Linked DNA regions of Styela clava. The protein of the gene in region 2 interacts with the protein of the main gene of each other region in a pairwise test. Links are inferred from orthologs where the notes say so. Each region holds a gene or a part of one and is shown on either strand. Other genes may lie near its edges.

The links. The genes of interacting proteins can lie anywhere in the genome.
Region 1: the proteins of histone acetyltransferase KAT5-like (region 2) and RING finger and CHY zinc finger domain-containing protein 1-like interact in a two-hybrid assay, tested with the Homo sapiens proteins (2 studies listed by BioGRID). The link is inferred for Styela clava from reciprocal best matches to the Homo sapiens genes KAT5 and RCHY1.

Annotation. Positions count from the first base shown.
Region 1 is NC_135257.1:10,032,056-10,042,705, reverse strand, and holds the start of RING finger and CHY zinc finger domain-containing protein 1-like, read right to left. Parts: upstream 4,338-10,650; 5' UTR 4,290-4,337; coding exon 4,078-4,289; intron 3,819-4,077; coding exon 3,633-3,818; intron 3,255-3,632; coding exon 3,150-3,254; intron 2,423-3,149; coding exon 2,128-2,422; 3' UTR 1-2,127. UniProt on the Homo sapiens protein: E3 ubiquitin-protein ligase that mediates ubiquitination of target proteins, including p53/TP53, TP73, HDAC1 and CDKN1B. Mediates ubiquitination and degradation of p53/TP53; preferentially acts on tetrameric p53/TP53.
Region 2 is NC_135257.1:5,466,684-5,477,726, forward strand, and holds the start of histone acetyltransferase KAT5-like, read right to left. Parts: upstream 5,180-11,043; 5' UTR 4,763-5,179; coding exon 4,745-4,762; intron 3,835-4,744; coding exon 3,771-3,834; intron 3,177-3,770; coding exon 3,108-3,176; intron 2,901-3,107; coding exon 2,761-2,900; intron 2,590-2,760; coding exon 2,491-2,589; intron 1,815-2,490; coding exon 1,712-1,814; intron 1,282-1,711; coding exon 1,148-1,281; intron 771-1,147; coding exon 681-770; intron 277-680; coding exon 136-276; intron 1-135. UniProt on the Homo sapiens protein: Catalytic subunit of the NuA4 histone acetyltransferase complex, a multiprotein complex involved in transcriptional activation of select genes principally by acetylation of nucleosomal histones H2A and H4.

The DNA.
Region 1 (10,650 bases), about 4.6 Mb from region 2:
TGTTTTGATCAAGAAACAGCATAAGAACACTATAAAGGGCAAATAAAAGCAACCTCAAACTTAAGTTTGAGGGGGCGCATGGCATAACCTGAGAGAGTCGAAGGCTCAAATATTGTAAATTAAATGATGTGGATCTTGATTTTTTTTCCCATCAATCACTACTGAAGAGGGTCTTTCTATCATTATTGTGAGAAGTACAATTTAATTAATGTCAGCTTTCATATCTCGGATGATCGTGTTTCATGTCATAAAAGAATAGTCAGTTTAGTATTTTTCCCTAGAAAAATCAACACATGCAACTTGCAGCTATGCATTTGACATAAGTCGAAAATGTTTCAAGTATTTCAAACCACAATTACAAATCAAGTTCAAACGAAACCTTAAAATAACATAACAGCACCAGCATTTTTATGTTAGAGTGGTTTTTTTTTTGTAGCCACTGGGATGGTACAAGAAAGTTGACAAATATTGATAATGTTAATTCACGTCAATATTGATCCCAACACTGTAAATAATCATATAAGATTAAAATATGTATGAAAATTTCAATCCCACTTGAAATGTTGTTAATTAATTATTGTCGGATAACTCTGACAGTTCTTATGCAGAACCTATATACACCAGCATAAAGCAAATTTGTGTTTAAACAAATGTAAGTATTTTTGTACAGTTATGCCCAACAAGTTCGTTTTGCAATATGAGCAAGAGCAGTATATTGTATCAGAAGCAACCAACTAATTGTATATATCTATACCCATCACAGACTAGTGATCTGGTGACAGGGCCATGATAGTATTGAGCCATCTCATCATATTTATCTCGCCTGGTATAAATATGGAAATTTTACTTTTCAATAGGTAGATAGATATTACAAATAGATATTACGCAACATTTTATTTATAATTGATACATGACTTCTCAAAATAACATATCTAAAACAGAATGGTCAGATGACTGTTCAATATGAAAACGCAGAGTATACTTTAATAAAAAGTATATTAATGGTAATGGCTATAATGCTGTTCAAAAATATAATGGGTGACCATGAATACATACTTTACATAGATATATTCATTGTTCTTCATTATAAAAAGTGAAGAATAAAACTAATTTCATACTATACCATCAAGCAAAGTTTATAAATTAACCATTGAATAATTTATATAGTTAAAGGTTCAACCCCCTTTCCTACCACCTTACCCAGGTTGAATGAATTAGGTGAACAATTCTTTCCATGAATAGTAGCTCCATACACATCAGTGGCGGTTTGTCTAGAGCAGGGCTGCACAACTCAAATGAGGATACGTGCCAAATTTTTCAAAATAATCTTGTCGCGTACCACGCACAATTGTGGTATTGTAAATTAACTCCTGCAAAACAAACAAATTTCAATAATAATACATAATAACGGATATCTATTTATTGAAACAATTTAATGTCCTGAAAAACTGCTGATTTTGATATAAACGTGATATTTTAATGTGTATCATAAATATTTTTTTTTCACAAAACTGTTCGCGTGCCACGTTTGAGCGTATGGCGTGCCAAATTTGGCACGCGTACCGCGTGTTGTGCACCCCTGGTCTAGAGCACCGGTTCTCAACGAGTGGGTCATGGCACACTACTAGGCCACAGAAACATTTCCAGGTGGGCCAAAACCTACTGTAAATTGCACAAGAGTTATTGATAAATTTATTTACATTTGTGTCACTATAAATAAATTTTGATTGCAGTAGCAATAAAAGATGCTTCTGTTGTTTGCTGTGGAGTGGTAATTTTCATTCTAATCATCAATAAAGTGAAAGTGTCTTTATTGTGGGAAGATTTTTTTTTTTTGTAGTTTTATCCTGGCATTGAAAAGTTAATGGGCCATGAAATCTTTGTTCAACAAAAATGGGCTACGACAGAAAAAAGGTTGAGAACCACTGGTTTGGAGGTTTATTCAAAGTGAAAACACCTCTTCAATAATTTGAAATTCGTAATTGACGTTGAAATATCTCAATATCAACTGTGTGTGACTAAAAATCATAAATACCAAGCGATAAACATGGAATATTATATCCTTGATAAAAATAAGTAAAACCTGCCAGACAAAAATTAGTACAACTGAAAGGAGTAAACAGTTTGTCAAGTGTGAGGTTCCTCAGTCTCAAGAAGTTTGGATTGAGGTTGCCCTGTTCCACATGTATTGTATGATTTACATTTAGAACATTTCAATCCCAGAACATGAAATCGGACATTAGACACTCCCTGACAGTCCTTACAAAGAATCCATATCAATGTGTTAGCATATTCGTCTGGCATAGGTGTCACAGCAATCTCTTCATCAAGATTTTCCCAAACTTTTGACATTTCCAAAGTCGATTTGCCACATGACGGACATCGATATTCATTGTGTTGAAGCATTACAGAATAGCATTTTCTGGAAGATAAAGGCTTAATTACTTGAAGGGTGTTGTCATGAAGCTATTTCAATATTCATATTAAACAAATAAGGGAATTGAAAGATTGACTTGAACAAATCACCGAATTCTTATGATTGCGAAGTCACTCAATCATAAAATGTTAAAATTTCAAATTCATTAACTTGATGATAAATGATGATATAAAGAAGTGTTGTGCAGATGCAGATGGCCAACAAGTACACATAAAAAACTTTCTATCAAAAAAACTATGAGAACATTCTTTAGCATATGTTAACCAGAACCAAGACAAATAACAATCTTTGGAGTAGAGATAATTTAAAACAAAACTAGTTAAAATCATTGTTACAACTCTTTGAAGAACGACTAGTGACCACCTATATATTTTCCCCTATAAATTAGGGATCCACAAGCTTAAACCACAATCAAACCACAACTAAATTTCACAACTATTCCTTTGATTAACCAAGTTTAGAATCAGAATTCTTTTGATATACCACTATGACTATTTAGTCAAATTTTCTTGTCTGAAAAGTCTTACACACAGCCAAAAGAAAAGTTACACAATATGCAGCAAGACTATCGAGTGATTTCAAGTTTAAATAGCCTTGTAAAAAAGTGACAAAACCTTCGTGAAAAAATTTAAATTCATTCATATCACACAATTGCACCAGTGTGGCATGGTATCATGTTGGTAGATGGGAAAACATTAATGAAAAAACTCACTGGTGAATAAGATGGCCACACGAGGGAACCTTTAATGACTCCGTGGATGTGTGCATATCTTCTAAACACACTGGACAATTGGATTTCGATGATTTTTCCACACATCTTAATAAAAAGTAACAAGCTTGCCACAAGCTCTCAACACAATGTGTATCAATAAAGAACAAAAATTTTAAATATCGTTTTCCATTAATATTTAACCCCTAAGCCAAGGGTAATAAAATATTGCATATTTTAAACCTTCTAAATCAATGCTCAAAGGCTGAATATAATAAATTGTAAATACCAAAAATCAACCTTATTAAATGCCATTGACAAATTATAAATTAAAATGGGAAACAGCAGAGTGTGAATTTGGCATTTTTATTTTGTACATGCATGAATCTGATTGAGAGAACAATTGTTGAGATTGAGGAATTGTTGAAATTGACATAAAAATACAAAACAACGAAAAGAGCATAAATTAATTTGAAAAATACATACTTATGAGAATCCTTGATATCAATACTTAAACATAGATCACATTTCGCGCAGTGAAAAAAATTTGCACGTCCCCCTACTCGACACAAACCACAATCATCACAATGATATTGCTTACGATCTCTGTCATCAAACATGTTACATATAGAACAGTGATATTTTCCAAAATTTGTACTGCAAACTTTGCATCTGAAATATTTTTTAAATTTTTAAACATAATTAGGTCACAAAGCTTGGTTTATAATTTTAATGCCTTTTTAAGAGCTCTTAGCTCAAGGTTCTATTAGATTAAGGAAAATATCAATAAAAAAAGTTTTTTTGAAACTATGTTAGAAAAATGGCCAGTACAAAGAATATATATACAAATTTAAAAAAAAAGCGATCAACTATTTTAACGAGAAGCCAAGAAGCTTGTTATCAAGGTTTTATCATTAAATTTGAAACTGACTCTGGAGAAACTTCTTGAACAGTGCTACAATTGTTGCATTTGATATGCTTCACAAGGTAGCGATTCAGTTTGTGATTACACTTCTCATCATGGCATAGGCGGCAAGGATAAAATTTCCAGCATGTAGAGCACTCTAACAGACATCTTCTTATGTAGTGTGTGCAAATTTCACTCTCTGTCTCTGTGTGAGAATTATTACCTATATCTGACATTTTGAGTTTGTAATTATATTTAACTTATCTGCAACACACATAAATATAAACAATACTGATTAACTGTTCACATTGTAACAAGAACAATAGCAATAGGGACTGGGATATTAATGAATACCAGAATAAATCTTCATATTTAACAACTGACTTACTAATCCCAGAATCCCATACACGGCTTGGAATTGTTAAGTCGTCTTAGGATAGGATTTGCATATTTTGAATTATATTTATAATATTATTTATCGCGGGGGAGAGGAAAGTTGACAAGACAGCGCAATCATATGGCGAACCACAGCTATAACGACTTTCCTTTCATCCGAGGTAAATATGTAAATCTGTATGTAGGTCAGGGTTGTCCAGAACGAATCGAATATTCTAAATTATTCGAATATCAAGGTATTCGAATACCTTTTCGGCTCATTTCCGAATAATTACGAATAGTAGTCACTTTTCCCCGTAAACACGGTGTTTCGTTTTACCGGAATCTTCAAACGACTTTTTACGCTTTCTCACGTATTGTAATGACGATGAAATAGAGTCGGCATTTTGATTGTTTATATTCAGCGCGAATGTACGTCGCATAGTGTTGCGACACATTTGCACGTTTGCGTTGGTGGACATTGCCGACATTCGTCTTTTAATTCACAAAATCATTTCCATTAGTCGAAAAATCGACAATCACCGTATTTCCCGGCTAATAAGTCGCTTTTCTAGACCCAATTTTGGCTTGATTTTTGGGGGAGGGGCGCCTTATTGAGAAAGCATGTTTATTTCATTTCTATGTGGCCTGCTTATTTTTCGCATTAGTCTTCTCAAGCATAATTTGTGTTGAACCTTATATTTGGTTCTTATGGGTCTGCCAATCATGATATTTAATCGTAGGCCGGTTATCGTTACTTAAAAGAGAAAACACGGCCACCGCCACCGAGATAAAGTAAGTGATTTATGACCCTTTGGTTTTGCCGATTCAGCAGAAAACAACAGGGACATGAAACACAGCTGTGAAATAACCCGTGGACGTACCGTGTGGTACTTATCACATTCCAAAATTATTTCAACATTCGGGTTGATAGGTTGTCCAAAATGATTGCCGCTTTATAATTTAAATTTACCGCTTCGTTGTTGAGAATAGTTAATTCCGTGAGTATGGTTCTACCAAACAAACATGATCTGGTTCTGTTCTGACCCTATAAAATTATAGATTGTTCAAAATGATTTTGATTTTTAACTTAAAATTACCGCTTTATTGTTAAAAATAGTTAATTCTGTGAGTATGATTCTACTAAACAAACGTGATCTGGTTCTAAACATTATTATTAGCGCATATTAGCATAACTGAACAACAGGGAATAATTTTTCTACCCGTCTTCTTGGAGGCCTATATGGAAAACCCCCTTTTTTGAGTGCTAAAAATATACATTGTCCTATTTGCCATGTAGACTTATTAGCCGGGAAATACGGTATTTATAGCCGCAATTGTTACGATACCCAATAAATTGTCACAAGTTGGGAAACAAGTTGATTTATTAGAAAAATACTTTCACCCGCTTTCTGGAAAATAATTTTGATAATGATGGTCAAAAGTATCGATAATGAAATGAATGTATGTATGTATGTATGAATGAAATGAATGTATGAATGAAAGTATTAATACCAAATACCACGGGTATTTGTGGGCATGAAATGTGTGGTAAACTGCCCAATTATAATTAATTTCGGATTCGTATTTACAAAATATTAAAACTATTATAACTCAAAAATACAACGGCGATTTGTGGACTTGAATGTGTAATAAAGTACAAATTATTTTTCCGAATTGTGACAATTTTTTCGAGTACGAAAATAGAATCAAAAATTAATTATATTCGGGCACAATATCACGGCATTCTGTGGACATAAATTGTGAGGCAAACTCGCGATTGATATTAATTTTTGATTCCTATTTTGGTATTTACAAAAACAACGGTGATCTGTGGACATTGAATGTGTGGTAAACTACCCGATTATAAATAGTTTTTGAACCCTATTTTCGTATTTATAAAATAATAAAAGTATTATTACACAAACATACAACGGCGATCTGCGGACTTAAAATGTGTGGTAAAGTTCCCGAATATATTTACTTTTTGATTCGTATTTTTGTACTCACGAAAAAATTGTCTCAAGTCTGAAAAAGAACTCATACTTTATCCCGCTTTTTGACAAATAATTTGGATAATGGTTGGTATTTAAAAGTATGGGCGTTTTACTAGGATGATTTTGTGTTGCGCAAGCATTCAAATCCATCACCGATACCACTATTTAAAATGCCTTGTCGTATTATTTTAATTCTGTTAATTAACACAACTCATGTTATATAAAATATATATCGCAATAATCTGCAAACATGAAATGCCTGGTAATATAGCCAGGTTGTAGATAGAAGTTATTCCATTGTTTATTGTATGAAAATTCCTTCATACACTTAGATTCTATTACTGGATTTTATTTTCGAAGTATTCGAAATTTCATATTCGAAAATAATAATTTCGAATGTATTCGAAATAGTGAACTATTCGGTATTGGCCATCCCTGATGTAGGTACTTCCAAACATCGAAGTAAATTTTTTCGCGATATCGCACACTTTGGGAATCACTGACCTAGGCCCTCTCATCGTATAAATCGGCCGTGAGCCTGTGACTGCAACTAATCCTCCCCGAACACAAAATTACTTCGGCCTTCTCAATTTTAAGACAGCACGGTACAGCAGTAACTGGATAAGGTTTTCATCAGTATTTATCCAGTCCAATTTTAATATTCCAAGTTATATTGTCCATTTCGAATTGTACGGTATTCCATGTTGTGATCTGCAGAGTAGGCCTACCATTTGAAGATATTCATTTTAGTTTATGGATTAGGCATATAGGCAGTTCTTCATTATATTGCAGAATGGACAGATGGACCAATGCCCATCATTGTTATAAATAAATCTCTCCCTGCCCCCCATTCCCGACATGAACTGACAACCGGACGAGAGCCGGGGTTCGCCATATGACCCCGGCTCAAATATTGAAATATGAAAATCCCAAGATGTTAACTACGTAAAATATTGTAATATATATTCTGAAATCGGAAAATATTTTACATGCGACGACCTATAAATAACAGACGCAATAAGGTCGTTTATTAGTTCAAGGGTTGGGGTTTCGGGGCCAATTTTTGAAATCCCCGTACCGGGATATCCCGGGATTGAGCTGTATAATCCCGGGACTTTTCGGGATTAAGTAAAAGATTGAAACAACTTGCATGACAATAAAATCACGTAATTATTTCATGTAATAAAGACACAGAAATATTAGAGCATCTAGGACAGTGGTTCCTAACCTTTTTTTTATATCGCGGCACACTATTTAGCTCTTTAAATATTCGCGGCACACCTATCACAAAACACGATCATTTTCTACTCATAAAGAGTGCGATAGTCGAACGCGATCATGGGGGTCTCGTGTAGTTTCGTACCGGTACCTAACGTAGCATAACAATTTTTTGATATGTCAATCCTAACCCCCATCTGATTACGCCATCAAAAAATTAAATCACTACGACATCACAATCACGTCATAGAGCTTGCCAAATATACGCACGATCGATCGAAATGGCATTGGCGCCTACGATAAAGAACTGGCTGACGTTATCGGTCTCTCTCCTATTGGAATCGTTCCGACGACAACTGTTTTCTTACGTTAATGTAAACAAGAGCGTCTTCGGAGCACCTCACATTATTTTAAAAGTTGTGCAGCCGCGAAGTGGACATAACGATCGTTTCAATATTATGTTGTTGTTGTTGTTGTTGTTCTTGTTCTTGTTCTTTGACACGTTTTTAAAAAGTCGCTTTACTCTTCGAATACTGGACCAATTGCTTTGAAATTTTCAGTGGTTGAAGATAAAATTTTTCCCCAGAAGGCTATTACTTTTATTTATTTTAAAATTTCCTGTGGACTTCGAGAGATTCGTTTTTTGTGTTCAAAGAAGTGATCAGAATAAAAAATAGTGACACCTTGTGGCGATTGCGCGAAGGCATATCAACTGAGAAGCGATCGTAATTCTTGCTCCGCTAAGAGTTGTTTATGATGGGATGTTTGGGGTTACCGGTACCCGCAATGCAGCAATGCAACGGTTTGCGATTTCAATAAACTCGAAAGGTTTTTGAGGTTAAGTTAAACTACCGGTACTGTTTCGCGCGGTGTTCAATCAATCAATGTTCACTTTCCATATATTTCAATATTTGTAGACTGTGGTTCCCGTGTTAAGCGAAAGTGATACTGGTACGATACGGTAGCTGGGAAAGCTATGACAGTCCCTGTGGCCTGTACGGCACGTACCGGTACCGTTTACAGGTTTACGTACCGTCTTACCGGTACCGTAGTCCGTTACGGTACGTACCGGTACAGCTGTACAGGTACGATATCGGTAGACTAGTACAGTATTACTGTACTAGTTGCATTAATTATATTTGTTTAGAGTGTGTGCCTGCATTGGAATTAAGTTTTTGTAATGAGCCAGCATGTCTGCACAGCTGCTATGCCTTTCTAATTTTTGGCTGTTTCGTTACATTTTTTTGGAAACAACATTTGCATAAATACGTATGATACCGTATGCAGAGGAAGAAACTTCACAAAAATTTCAACATGTGCAGCAGGTTAGTGTACATAAATCAGTAAATACAGAAATAAGCAGAGGAAGAGACTTTACAAAAAGGATAAGATTTACATTATTATCCCGATGGAGAGGAAAGCCTATAGAACGGCTTAACCATATTGCGAACCACTGCCTCTTGTCTGGTTACCGGTAAGGTACCATTCCAAGTCTGGTACCGGTATGGCTGTATGGGGGAAGCATTACAATCTTTCCAATAGTGTTCAACATGTTATGAAATATGGTGGTTGCGGTTTCATCAATGCAAAAAATATTTGCCGGTTTAACAGCATGATGCAGTTATTGCAAATAGTTTTCGTGTCCATATATTTGAGCTTTGCTCTCTTGTTGTTGTTGTTGTTCTTTGACACTTTTTGGACATCTAGTGCAAAATCTAAAAAACCGCTTTTCTCTTTCATTACTGGACCGATTGCTTCGAAATTTTCACTGGTTAAAGATGAAATTTTTCTCCAGAAGACTATTACTTTTATTTATTTCAAATATTTCTGTGAGATTTGTTTTTGTTTGCTATGACGTCACCGAACGTTCTGCGGACGCATAGCCGACACTCCTCTTCTTTTTGATCACGTGCCATTGAACGTCGATGGTCCGTAACGAAGTCCTTACGGTACTTTTCTACGATTTTTTCCTTACGCTGATCGACGGTACGGTAAACCGTACTGTACTGCGAACAGACGTGTCCATATATTTGGGCGTAGCTCTCTTGTTGTTGTTGTTGTTCTTTGACACTTTTTGGACATCTAGTGGAAAATCTAAAAAACCGCTTTTCTCTTTCATTACTGGACCGATTGCTTCGGGATTTTTACTGGTTAAAGATGACATTTTTCTCCAGAAGGCTATTACTTTTATTTATTTCAAATATTTCTGTTAGCTCTGTGAGATTTGTTTTTGTTTGCTATGACGTCACCATACGTTCTGCGGACGCATAGCCGACACTCCTCTTCTTTTTCACTCCTATTCATCTTGGGGTCATTGCCCATCATTTCTACATGGGTGTGGAGTTTGCAGCAATTTTTTTTACGGCTCGATTTTTGTATTAGTGTTTTTCGTCAAACCTGTGCATCATGATGACGCACAACCTGAACCTGTTACGATACTATGTTCAGGTTGTGCGCAATCTTGGTGCACAAACTACGCAAGCACCAAATTTACTAGGAAATAAAATCAATAACTTTTAGGTATTTATTGAGATATTTGTGTTAGTGTTTTTCGTCAAACATGTACATCATAATGACGCACAACCTGAACCATAACCTATCACAAATTACAATACTATGTTCAGGTCGTGCGCAATCTTGGTGCACAAACTATGCAAGCACCAAATTTACTAGGAAATAAAATCAATAACTTTTAGGTATTTGTTGAGACCAGCTTTGGGTCGCGACCTATATACAGTATATAGGATAGGATAGGATTTACATATTTATGGAAATACTGTCGAAACATACGCGTAAAATAAAGAGTACTATTTCAAAATACCGGTTTTTGTTGCAATTAACAATACAAGCCTACTAATGCAGTCGCAAGTGGTTCAAGTGGATATACACTCGGTGGAGTACAGTCAATTATTTGTTAGCGAGAAATGTTATGCAGCGGGATGATCACGACGACGCAGTGAAAGATAATGATATCACGAGAATAAGAATGAGAAAATTGCTACATTTC
Region 2 (11,043 bases):
TTAGTGATGGGACACACGGTGTCGCTATGGAGTAATAACTTTGGATCGATAAGTCTTCGGTCTCCGACCGATATTCTCGTTCTTATCTTATCCAATATTATTTAAATACGCACAATCACATAAAAAAATTTTTACCTTAGAGAAATATCCTACCAAGTGACATCCTTTACTGTCATATTCCGTCATAACGTAAAATAGAAACGGATCTGTATCATAATACAGTGTTTTGTGATCAAGAAAACATTTCGCAAGAAGACACAAATTTTGAGCGTAGGACTAAATAAAAATAGATTATAGATAAAAATACTATACATAGAAACAACTATTTAACAAAAAAATGCACAACACGCCGCTTGATTTTGTCACAGATTTGATATAACATGGAATATGAAATTTGGATCAATAGTATTACCTCGCCAACTCCACACTTGGCAATAAATTTCAAGAAGTTATTACAACTTTATCTAGATATTGACATTTTTGCCAATTTCATGAAATAACAGGTTTTCAAACTGGAATATATAGAATATTTCTGAAGAAAAAATTCAATATATCGAATGCAAATGCGGTACTCAACTTCAGCTATCCATGATTTAAATTATGTTGTTAAATTTACAAATCAAGAGTATTCATACTGATGGGTTTATACTTTATGTATATAAATTTAAGTATATACCAACTTTGTTTTTTCGCCCATCAATCTCAAAAAATGATATATTGCTTTTTCTGTAAATTTCATTTCCTGGTGGATATTTCAACTGACATTTTGTCTAAAAAAAAGGGTAGATAGCTTGATAACAAAATAATTGAAAATTGAAACGCATTAAAATGGTGAGCTAATTCAATACAAGATTAGATGGTCATTTAACCAACATTTTATAGTAATAGTTAAATAGAAAAAAAATTTGCCTATATAGCAAGGGGACTTGCTCACTAAGGTTTCTTCTAACAAAAAAGGCGAAAGCTGTAGGATGGAGCTAACGTTCCCAAAAAGCCAATTTCTGCAGAGTGCCAAATGCAGTGCATGTTCAAATGCAGTATGCAGAGTTAACATTCAGACTGGTGTCAATGATATTGGACAAATTACTACAATACGCACTACTATAAACATCTTGCTATCATTAGGACATAAATTAAAATGTCTTACCAAATGTCTCTGAAGACACGTCAAACTTTTAACATATTTCAAACACCATTCACAGAGGAATACAACAGGATATGTAGTTAATTCAACAGGATAAGGTGAAAAATACCAAGGTTTCAATCTGTATTTACCAACCTCTGAAAAAACAATGTAAGCAAGATTTAGAATTTAGATCAAAGTTGATGAAGTAAATTCAGTACAAATCTTGATTTAGTTACCGGTACTAAAATAATAAAACAGTAAATTGAAGAATTTTAATGTTATCCACAAGGTGGTAGACACTGTTTAATCAGCTTGATCAATGACAAGCTTTCCACTGATAACAAACAGCAAACATTTTTAATGAAATACCACATTCAAAATATTCATAAAATATATGCTACATAATTAAAATTTAAATATACCAAATAAAATACATCTGACATCAAATAATGAACAAGTATGATGCTAATTAATCAATTGAAGCGTGCCATGAATTTTGCTTTGGGGTATAAGATGATGATTACTATTGTTGTTTAAAGTGTTATCTTATTTTACCCAATTCAGCTGATATGTATAAAACCTCACCTATGGAATGGATATTTTTGATTCGACTTATTTTATCTTCTTTTACATGAACTGTCATACTCCCGGTCTGTCTTGGAGCATTGTCTGATGAATCTTGCGATTCCTTTAAAAGATGAAGATATTGAAACAGGGAGTATATGTCTTGTGGTTAGCATGTTGTACTCTTGTAGAAATCAGTGTCATTGTGTGGGATATGCTCAACAAGAATGGTCTCAGTTCCTCAAACTCCCATAGTAGCTTTGTGTCAGTGAATAATCACATAGTCTTGTTTAGAATGAAGATGGAACAAATACGTCATTTAGTAAATTGATAAATCACAAAAGCACAAGCAATTACTGGTGGGCAAAAGTCAAAATTTAAGTCAAATCTCACATGACTGATTTATACAAGATTAAACTGCATGCTTATTGTAGTTCGAAAATTCAATTTCGTTGGTTCATTTTTGATTCAAATCAGACAATGGCCGTTCATCCATGAGCACTGGTTTGGAAATAAATTTGCTCAGCCACAAAAAAAATCGCTCACACAGAAGATTCAGCGCTCCCGTAGTATGTGCAACAAGATGGCAGACACCTGAACATAGTATGTGTACGAGGTTAGGGTTAGGCCATAATTTTATTCCAATTTTCCTTATTTTAGTTATATTACAAGTTCGGGGACTAGCCAAGTGACTCCTGTAGTATTTGTACCTGAAATTATGGCCTAACCCTGATACACATACTACGTTCCGGTGTCTGCCATCTTGTTGCCCATACTACGGGAGTACCAAAGATTCTTACCTCTTCTGGTCCCATTTCAGGTCCTTTTCTCTTTCTTCCTATCTTTGGCATCTTTTTAATTGCTGCCGTAACTTTTGAAGGATGCGCAGTTCCATTTTGCTGAAAAAGAAATCACAAACTTGAACTGAGAGAAAAATTGAAAAGCAGCAAACAGCATTCCCATCCTCACGTTTCACATTCACACAAAAGTTCAGAAACAGTAGTCGAGCATAGAATGCCCACAAAAGCAACATTCGATTATCTATTTGTATTCCATTAAAAAGTACTTACAACAACAATTTCCCTATCAGGACTATTATGGACAGAGTCACTGCTTCTTTTGGTTCCTATTTTTGTATCTTTCTTTGGAAATTGAATCTTTGACATGTCAAGTCGTTCTGCAGCAACCCACTCATCCAATCTTTTATTAACTATCAAAAATGAAAAGATATTATGAAATTTCCATTCACTCCTACATAGTAAAAATGCAACTATATAGGTCAGCTGTTATTTTCCAGATAATTGAGGAAAAAATCTATTGATGAACATAGATGGAACTTAATATTTCTATATATGTACATAGTATTAGAATAATGCATCAGCCAGTCATGCAATGTTGATATTTACACAAAACTTACAGTCAATATAGTGAACATAATATTCAAATTTGTTGTTAACATCTCGAATACTGAGAACTTCTGCCAGATCTGAAATACAAATAGAGACATTTAAAAAGGGTTGCAACTTACTCATACACACTTTATGAAAGAAGAGAAAACATTATGAAAAAATATCATAGTGCCCTATATACACTGTAAAAGTTTAAATGCGGGAGGTTTATCAAGCTTTGGAATGAAATGACAAATCAAGACTCAGAATATTTTGAAAAATAGTTCTTCGCCAAAATCTGCTGGACTAAAAAGTGATTAAATCAAAATAGATAACATAATATTTTATCACCAATATTGAAACTTGTATTTTGTACCAATGTTTTTAGGTATAGAATTGATATACAAACTTTTCGCGCCACACATGTTTTGCCTCGTGGACCTTTTCAACCAGATTTGAGAGTTGTCCAAAAATAATAATATAATATATAAATACATGTAGATGCAGTGAATAAATTTATGAATGTTTGTGTAAGTCATTACTCAAATCGTCATAATGCCATCTGATTGGGAAGGTCCGAGGAGTGAAAGTCTGAGGCAAAAAGTTTGTAGGCTATTCAACTTCAAGTGTAATCAGCATAATATTATAGTGTTACTGAATTTAAATAACATCCAATTAAAAAAATATCTTACGCCACTCAAATTGACCCTCCAGGTCTCTCTGAACAGGCATTCGACAGCCTTCGATAACACCAGCCTTTAAAAAAATAGTATTGATTAATATTTAGATACGAGAAGCTTATTGAAAACTTTGATCACAAAACTCAATTCATTTTTAAGTAACTTTAGTCAATCCAGACCATCAGATGATTGGAATACAGCATGGTTTCTCAAACTTTTTGAGCGGCGGACCCCTATTTGTTTATCTTAGTTTTGATGAATCCTATACTGTATACTGTATCAATTTCTGTGCCTAACCAACGAAAAAGGATAATGTTTCATTTACAGCACAAACGGCATTAATGTCTGTAATTTGCTGATGTGATGGATGAAGTTGCGTTTCACTGCACAATTCAGCAATTTATCGATTCTCGGAGCAATTTGTGACGAGCAAGTTCGTAGATCCGACTCTAGGGCAAGTCTCGACCTGTATTTTGTCATCATATTGGTAAGAGCTGAAAATACTGCCACACATGTCTGCATGTAGGTCTTTGCAAAAGGCAATATGACCTTTAATTGCCTTTTCTAACAGCAATATGCGTACGCAGCGTTCAACCAAGTGCAATGGCTTTTTCTTTGACATCAATCCTTAACGATCAGACTCTTGTCATGTCATTGTGAACCCCCTGTGCAGTCATCACGGACTCCCAGGGGTCCGCGAACCCCAGTTTGGGAAACCCTGGAATACAGGACTATCTGACCATGAATATACTTATAAGAGTAAACAGGGTCCGTTCATAAGAAAGGATAGAAATATGCAATGTGCTGAAGTTTTCTCGAACACGTTTGAGACTGAATAGAATTTACTAATTATGGTACCAGTAACGTTACAGCAGTACAGGTAATATCGTAAACTGTACAGGTATGATTCAAATGTTGAACTTCAACATTTGGATTATAAAGCTAACTCCTAAATATACCAGTACCGTAAATAAATACAACCATACCTTCATTCCTTGTGACATATTCCGTACGACGCCGTTCCAATATCGCTCTAGGCTACTTGTTTTTAACCGGTGCGACCAGCGATGCAGTTATTATGAAACTGCTTCGGGAAAACACCACTTTATATATCGCTGTCACGTGAATACCTCGACATGGATAATTCGGCATTATCGGGTAAGATTTACAAAACAAAAGAGAGAGAGAGAGAGGAAATTTTTTGATTCGTCAACCAAAACAAATATAAATGGAAAATATAAAAATTGTACAAATCCTACCGGTGCTGTAAGCGCGAACTCAACTAACCCACCGTATTACATTTCCGGAACGTCTTTTGGAAAACAACACTTTATAACGTTTGTACTTAGGTCCTCCATATGAATAACTCGTCTAAAACAGGATCATGAGTTATTCGTCTTTCAATACCACATTCACAGCGAAAATAATTATCCTAAACGACTCTGATAGGATGTGGTTCAACCTTTACGATTACGAGCCTGTCGAACGCCTACGATATTCTGCGAGCCTCCCGAACCCCTGCGATATTCTGCGAGCCCCCGTCGAACCCCAACTTTGGAATCCGAAAGATAATAAGTCAAAAACGTTAGCAGCTCAAGTCATTCGTTTTCAAACTGCATTGAAATATTGGATAATAGCTTTTGTCAAATGGTTCACAGAAATAGAAATACTATATATACGTATACCGTGTTTTCCCGAAAATAAGACAGGGTCTTGTTTCAATTTTCTTTCGAAAAATAACACTAGGGCCTATTTCGGGGGGTGTCTTCCATTTTCATATATTCGAGTTTTCGCGAATTGCCTCCCAGATTGGTTACGTCCGATCTGAAATATTCTGGCCTCACCATAAATAGTTGCTCTATAAATACATTTGATTCTTTTTTTTTCCCGAAATAGATACTTATCTAAAGATTTGTTCCAAGAAAAGAAATATAAATATTTATTATAAAGTATGTTGCAACATGTACATTATAGCGAAATTTCAAATCCAAAAATGAACCAATATATATATACCGGGAGGAGTGCACCATCATGGTTTGATTAATTGATTGGAAAAAATAAACTTGACTTGACCTAAACACTTTAGATGAAATTTTACTTTGAGAAAAATAAACAGAGACAACACTTGAATTTATTTCATTTGAATTGATTTATTTTTACAAAATTAGTACAGTATATATATATGAGCAGTGGCGGCGCGTCAATAGGGCCAACCGGGGCAATGCCCCGGTTGTTTTTTCGGTATAATAAAAAATATTCGAAAAATACCTCAATATCGGTTGCACAGACTGTCTACACTAGCCATATTCTCCCGACATGGTTCATTTTTCGCTCGCAAAGCCTTCGCCGAACGTCGACGGGGCGACGCCGATTTTGCCCCGGTTGCTCATTGTATATCGTATTCTCTCTTTTATCTTCCACTCGCCGCGTTTGTCTCGTTTGTTTTTCTGTTTCTTTTACTAAATCATCGGGGCCGATCGGGGCTAGCCCCGAAATTATGACGACACAATGCCGACGTTTCTTACTACAACGTGTTGACATATTCACGCATTCCTTCTCGTTCGTTGGTTGCTTGAAGAGTTGATAGTTTCCTCGCCTTCGTTTTTGTCGCTTGTTTCGCTATTTGAATCAGTTAGAGACCTTTAGTCCATTTGCTTTCGATTTTCCACATTCCTTTTGAGCTCCTCACTTCTTTCCGGCTTCGCATTTCTTAGCCTTAGACCTCATAATGAATAAGGTTGATGCACTACTTCGCACTCCGTTTTCGCAGCTGCCGCTGGAACAAAAATTAGAGGTACAACGTCAACGTATTGGGCCTTATCAACCAAAAAATTGTTCACTGGAACAATCCCATGACGGAGGAAAGCGTCGGCGTACATTCTGCGCAGAAACTTGGTATAAAAAACACGAATGGTTGTGTTACAGCGAGGACAAAAATGCACTTTTTGGTTTTTATTGCCTACTTTTTGCTACCGCCCGTGACTCACGTTGGTGTAAATTTGGTTTTAGAGATCTTAAACATCTTTCCGAGCGTGCCAGGGATCATCAATCTTCTATGGAGCATCTGGACAATGCAGTAAAATACCGAACATTCGGAAATGTTAATATTGCAGCACAGTTGGATGAAGGACGCGCGGTTTCTATTCGTCGGCACAACCAAAACGTCGAGAAAAACCGCCATGTTCTCGGTCGATTGATAGATGTTTTGAAGTTCATTGGTTGTCACGAGCTGTCCCTCCGTGGGCACGGTGAACGGGCTGGCTCTTCTAATAGAGGGGTATTTTTGGATATGGTGGAATACACCGCATCCCTAGATACAGTATTGAGAGATCATCTTGATGCCGCAACTGTTTCGAAAGGGACATCTAAGGATATCCAAAATGTTTGCTCGACTCAATGTATAAAATTTATTTACAACATTTGGCTCTGGAAATTGAGAATTGCCAGTTCCTTTCGATTCAGTCCGACGAGACAACTGACATCACGTGCGTTTCCCAACTGGCTGTGATTTTTCGGTTTGTGAAAGATGGTAAACCTACCGAGAGATTTCACAGCTTTGTACCAATCGTTGATCGCACGGCTTGCGGGATATCGGCTGTACTGAAAGAAGTGTTACAGCCTTACAACGCGAAGTCAAAATTGATAGCTCAAACTTATGACGGCGCGGCAGTCATGAGTGGGTCGAAACATGGTGTTCAAGTTTATATAAAAGAAGATTTTCCTCATGCGCATTTTTTACATTGTTATGCACACCCATTTAACCTCGTTATTAAAAATATGTGTCTTGATACCCCTCTCGTCCGTATATTTTTAGCAAATGTTTCGGGGTTTTCTTCATTTTTTTCCGTTTCGCCGAAGCGCTCTGACCTCCTTCGCCAGATATGTAGCCGCCGTCTCCCAGCTTGTGCACCAACACGTTGGAACTTCCAATCACGCGTGGTGCAGGGCGTGTCCGAAATTAGGTCTGAGCTCATTGAGTGTTTCAATGGCATTCAGAGCTCTCCGGTTTGGGACGAACGCTCTGTGAGGGAGGCGGCAGGTCTAAAGCGTCTGCTAGAAGATGGTGAGTTTTCATTTTTTTCTCCACAATATTCTATCACGTGGATGTATTATACGGCGCATTGCAGTCAAGGCTAATGGATGGAGCGTCTGTGCAGTCGTGTATTTCAGACTTCTGCGATGCTGTATCTCGTATCCGGGAAACAATAAAATACGACGACACATGGAGTGCTTCTTTACGCGCGGGCAAACAACGCAGCGTTTGATTTTGTCTGCAAAGGAATGCTGTGACATTCTGGTGAATCAAATAGGCGATCGTCTGCGCACTGGACACCTTGCCGTGTTCTCTTTGATGAACCCCAAAAAATTTTCAAAATTTGCACGTCAATTTTCCATCCATTTGTTGGCTACTGTCTCCAAATGTTACCCCATGATAAACGTGGGTAAATTGGAAAATGAATTGCGATGTATATACATCAATCAAACTTTTTTGAACATCACATCAACTTGCGCGCTCTATAGGTTCCTCATAGATAACACTCTAGTAACTACCTTTGCGGCGTCTGCAAAATTTCTGGACATCTTTTTGACGACGCCTATTTCTTCCGCCGACGCAGAGCGAACATTCAGCACGCTGAAGCATATTAAAACGTATCTCAGAAACACAATGAAGCAAGATAGATTAAATTCCTTGGCTGTTTTATCCATTCACAGAGACGTTATTTCTGGGATGCATGACTTTAATCAGCGCGTTATTGAGCATTTTGCTTCCAAGAAACCGCGGCGTGTTGCATATATGTTCAAGCAGTAGAAGCCTAGCAGCATATATATCTATGAGTGAGCGACGCATGTCCTTATCTTTGCATTAACTTTCCTTTCTTCATAGTAACGTTTTAAACCTTATTTTAGGTTTTGTCTGCTTTCCCGAAGTTTCTGTTAATATGTCATTGTATTTATCTGGGTAAATATTGCCTTTCCTTTTGAATAAGGTTTCAAAATAAACTATGTCTATATTTATTAATCCCTTGACTTGGACCGGTTTTGCTCATCCTGTCCCCGTAGATGGGGGTGACTTGGTCCCGCAGTAGCTTGCCCCGGTTGTCAAAATGACCACGCGCCGCCACTGTATATGAGGTATTCTACTAGAAGGCTCTCTAATAAATTCAAACCATCAATTCAGGACGATATTGTTTTAATCGAAGAAATGGATATGTTTTTCGGCAACATTATGTATTTTTGTCAGCTTACACAAGAAGTTGGCGGCGGCGGTGTGGCTCAACGGGCTAAGCGTTAGGAATACGCTCGCCACCGCACCTCTAATTACTCTGCGTGGGTTCGCAGGTTCGAATCCCATGCAGGGATGGTTATGTGCGAGAGGATTGCTGGACTCCTCGCCGTCGTTGGGTGGTTCACGTAACCGCTGGTCGGTTACGGCTTCCTCCACCACCAAGTCCATGCTTCCGAAAACAAACAATACAGTAAAAACTAATCCCATACCCGACTTGGAATGGTAACCGGACGAGAGGCCGTGGTTCGCCATATGGATAAGCCGTCTTATCGGCTTTCCTCTCCCCCGGGATAAATATGTAAATCCTATCCTATCCTAAGTTTACGGCGTAAAAAATGATGCATGGAATGCGTTTAAAATAAGTATACGCCCAAATAGGAATTGGATATTTCATACTACGAGTGTCAGACAAACCGAAACTTGCAAATCTTCTTCATCCATATCATTTAGAAGCAAAAAATATGTAAATATATATATACCATATGCAAATTGTAAAGGTTCAGGCTAAAGTTGCATCATTGATAAATCAATAGATTCGGTTAGCCTACCTTAATCCCTAATTTAGATGTTCATATTAACTAGGATGTGCGCAGTGAAAACAAGTTAGTACTCATGTACGTGAAAAACAATTCATTAGAAAACAATTTATTAGTCTCATGTTTCCAACTTGACGGTTCTTGGACTTCTTGACGACGGTTTCAACAAAAAATGGTCATGCATCCCAGCTCAACGTTTTCACCGATTCATTCACAAGCTGCACTCGTGAAATTTTCGATGCAAACATTCGTAAACACGATTTTGGGTTTTCGGGCGTGAGTCAGTTGTTTTTATTTTGTGTTCTAGCAGATCAAAATGAACAACACTGCTTTAATTAACTCCGGTCGGACGTGTTTCATTCTATCCTCGATCCAGTCATGAATCCTTGCCCATTAGCACATGCTAAATTTTACATCTCGAATAAATTAACCGAACCCCAACGCTAAGATTTCAGGTATTAAGACCAATGCTCAAATATATGGACACGTCCATCGGAGCGGAGCAGTTCTTACTTTGACGCTGCTGGTACCTACGGCGCTGCTCGCCATAGCAGAGCAAGAATTTCTTTACACACCACCGATGTTCGATGAGCATGTCATCAAAAAAACAAAAAGAAAAGTGCCAGCATAAAAACAAATCCCAGTGCTATCAGGAATATTTGAAATAAATAAAAGTAATAGCATTCTAGAAAAAAATTCATCTTCAACCACTGGAAATTTTGAATAAATGGGTCCAGTAATCAAAGAGAAAAGCGACTTTTTACGTTTTCCACTAGGTGTCCAAAAAAATTTGTAAAACGATCGTTATGTCCACAGACGTGTCCCATAAATTCACTCCAGTTCAGGTCTTAATGCCTGATATTCCACGCCCAGTTGATCATGCGCAAGAAACTTTGCCATACGATTTGCCGATACTGTACGAGGTGTCTAAAAAACGTCGTGTTCCACTTGTCCGGGTGTTTCAAAAATGTGGGACACGAGAGACAAGTGGGACAAGACATTTTCGAGACACCCATACTATGCGTACTTCCTAGTGTCGTGACGTACTTCCTAGTGTCAATTTGCGCGTCAGGCGATGGACGATTAGAGACCAATCGGCGCAAAATCGCCACAATATCTTGGAACGATTTTTGGAAACTATTATGAAGTTCAATTAATTAGATACAGACTCACTCCGCAAGTCATGGAATAGTCATAGCGTTTCTACTTTCTATATTCCAGCAATTGGGTTGGTGGTTGTACAACTAATGGGCTGAAACATAGGCCCTCCGCGATAGTACACATAGACTGTAGGTTGGTTAGTTCATGGTTCGCGAAGGTTGGGTAATTCATCTTAGACACAATTGGATTGCGACCAGTTAGGTAGACTGTAAAATTCTTGAACTTGCAGCATGATAGGGAGAAATATTTACTCACCTTCCACAATAATGAAAAAAAAGTGGAGATATTTGAAGATCAAGAT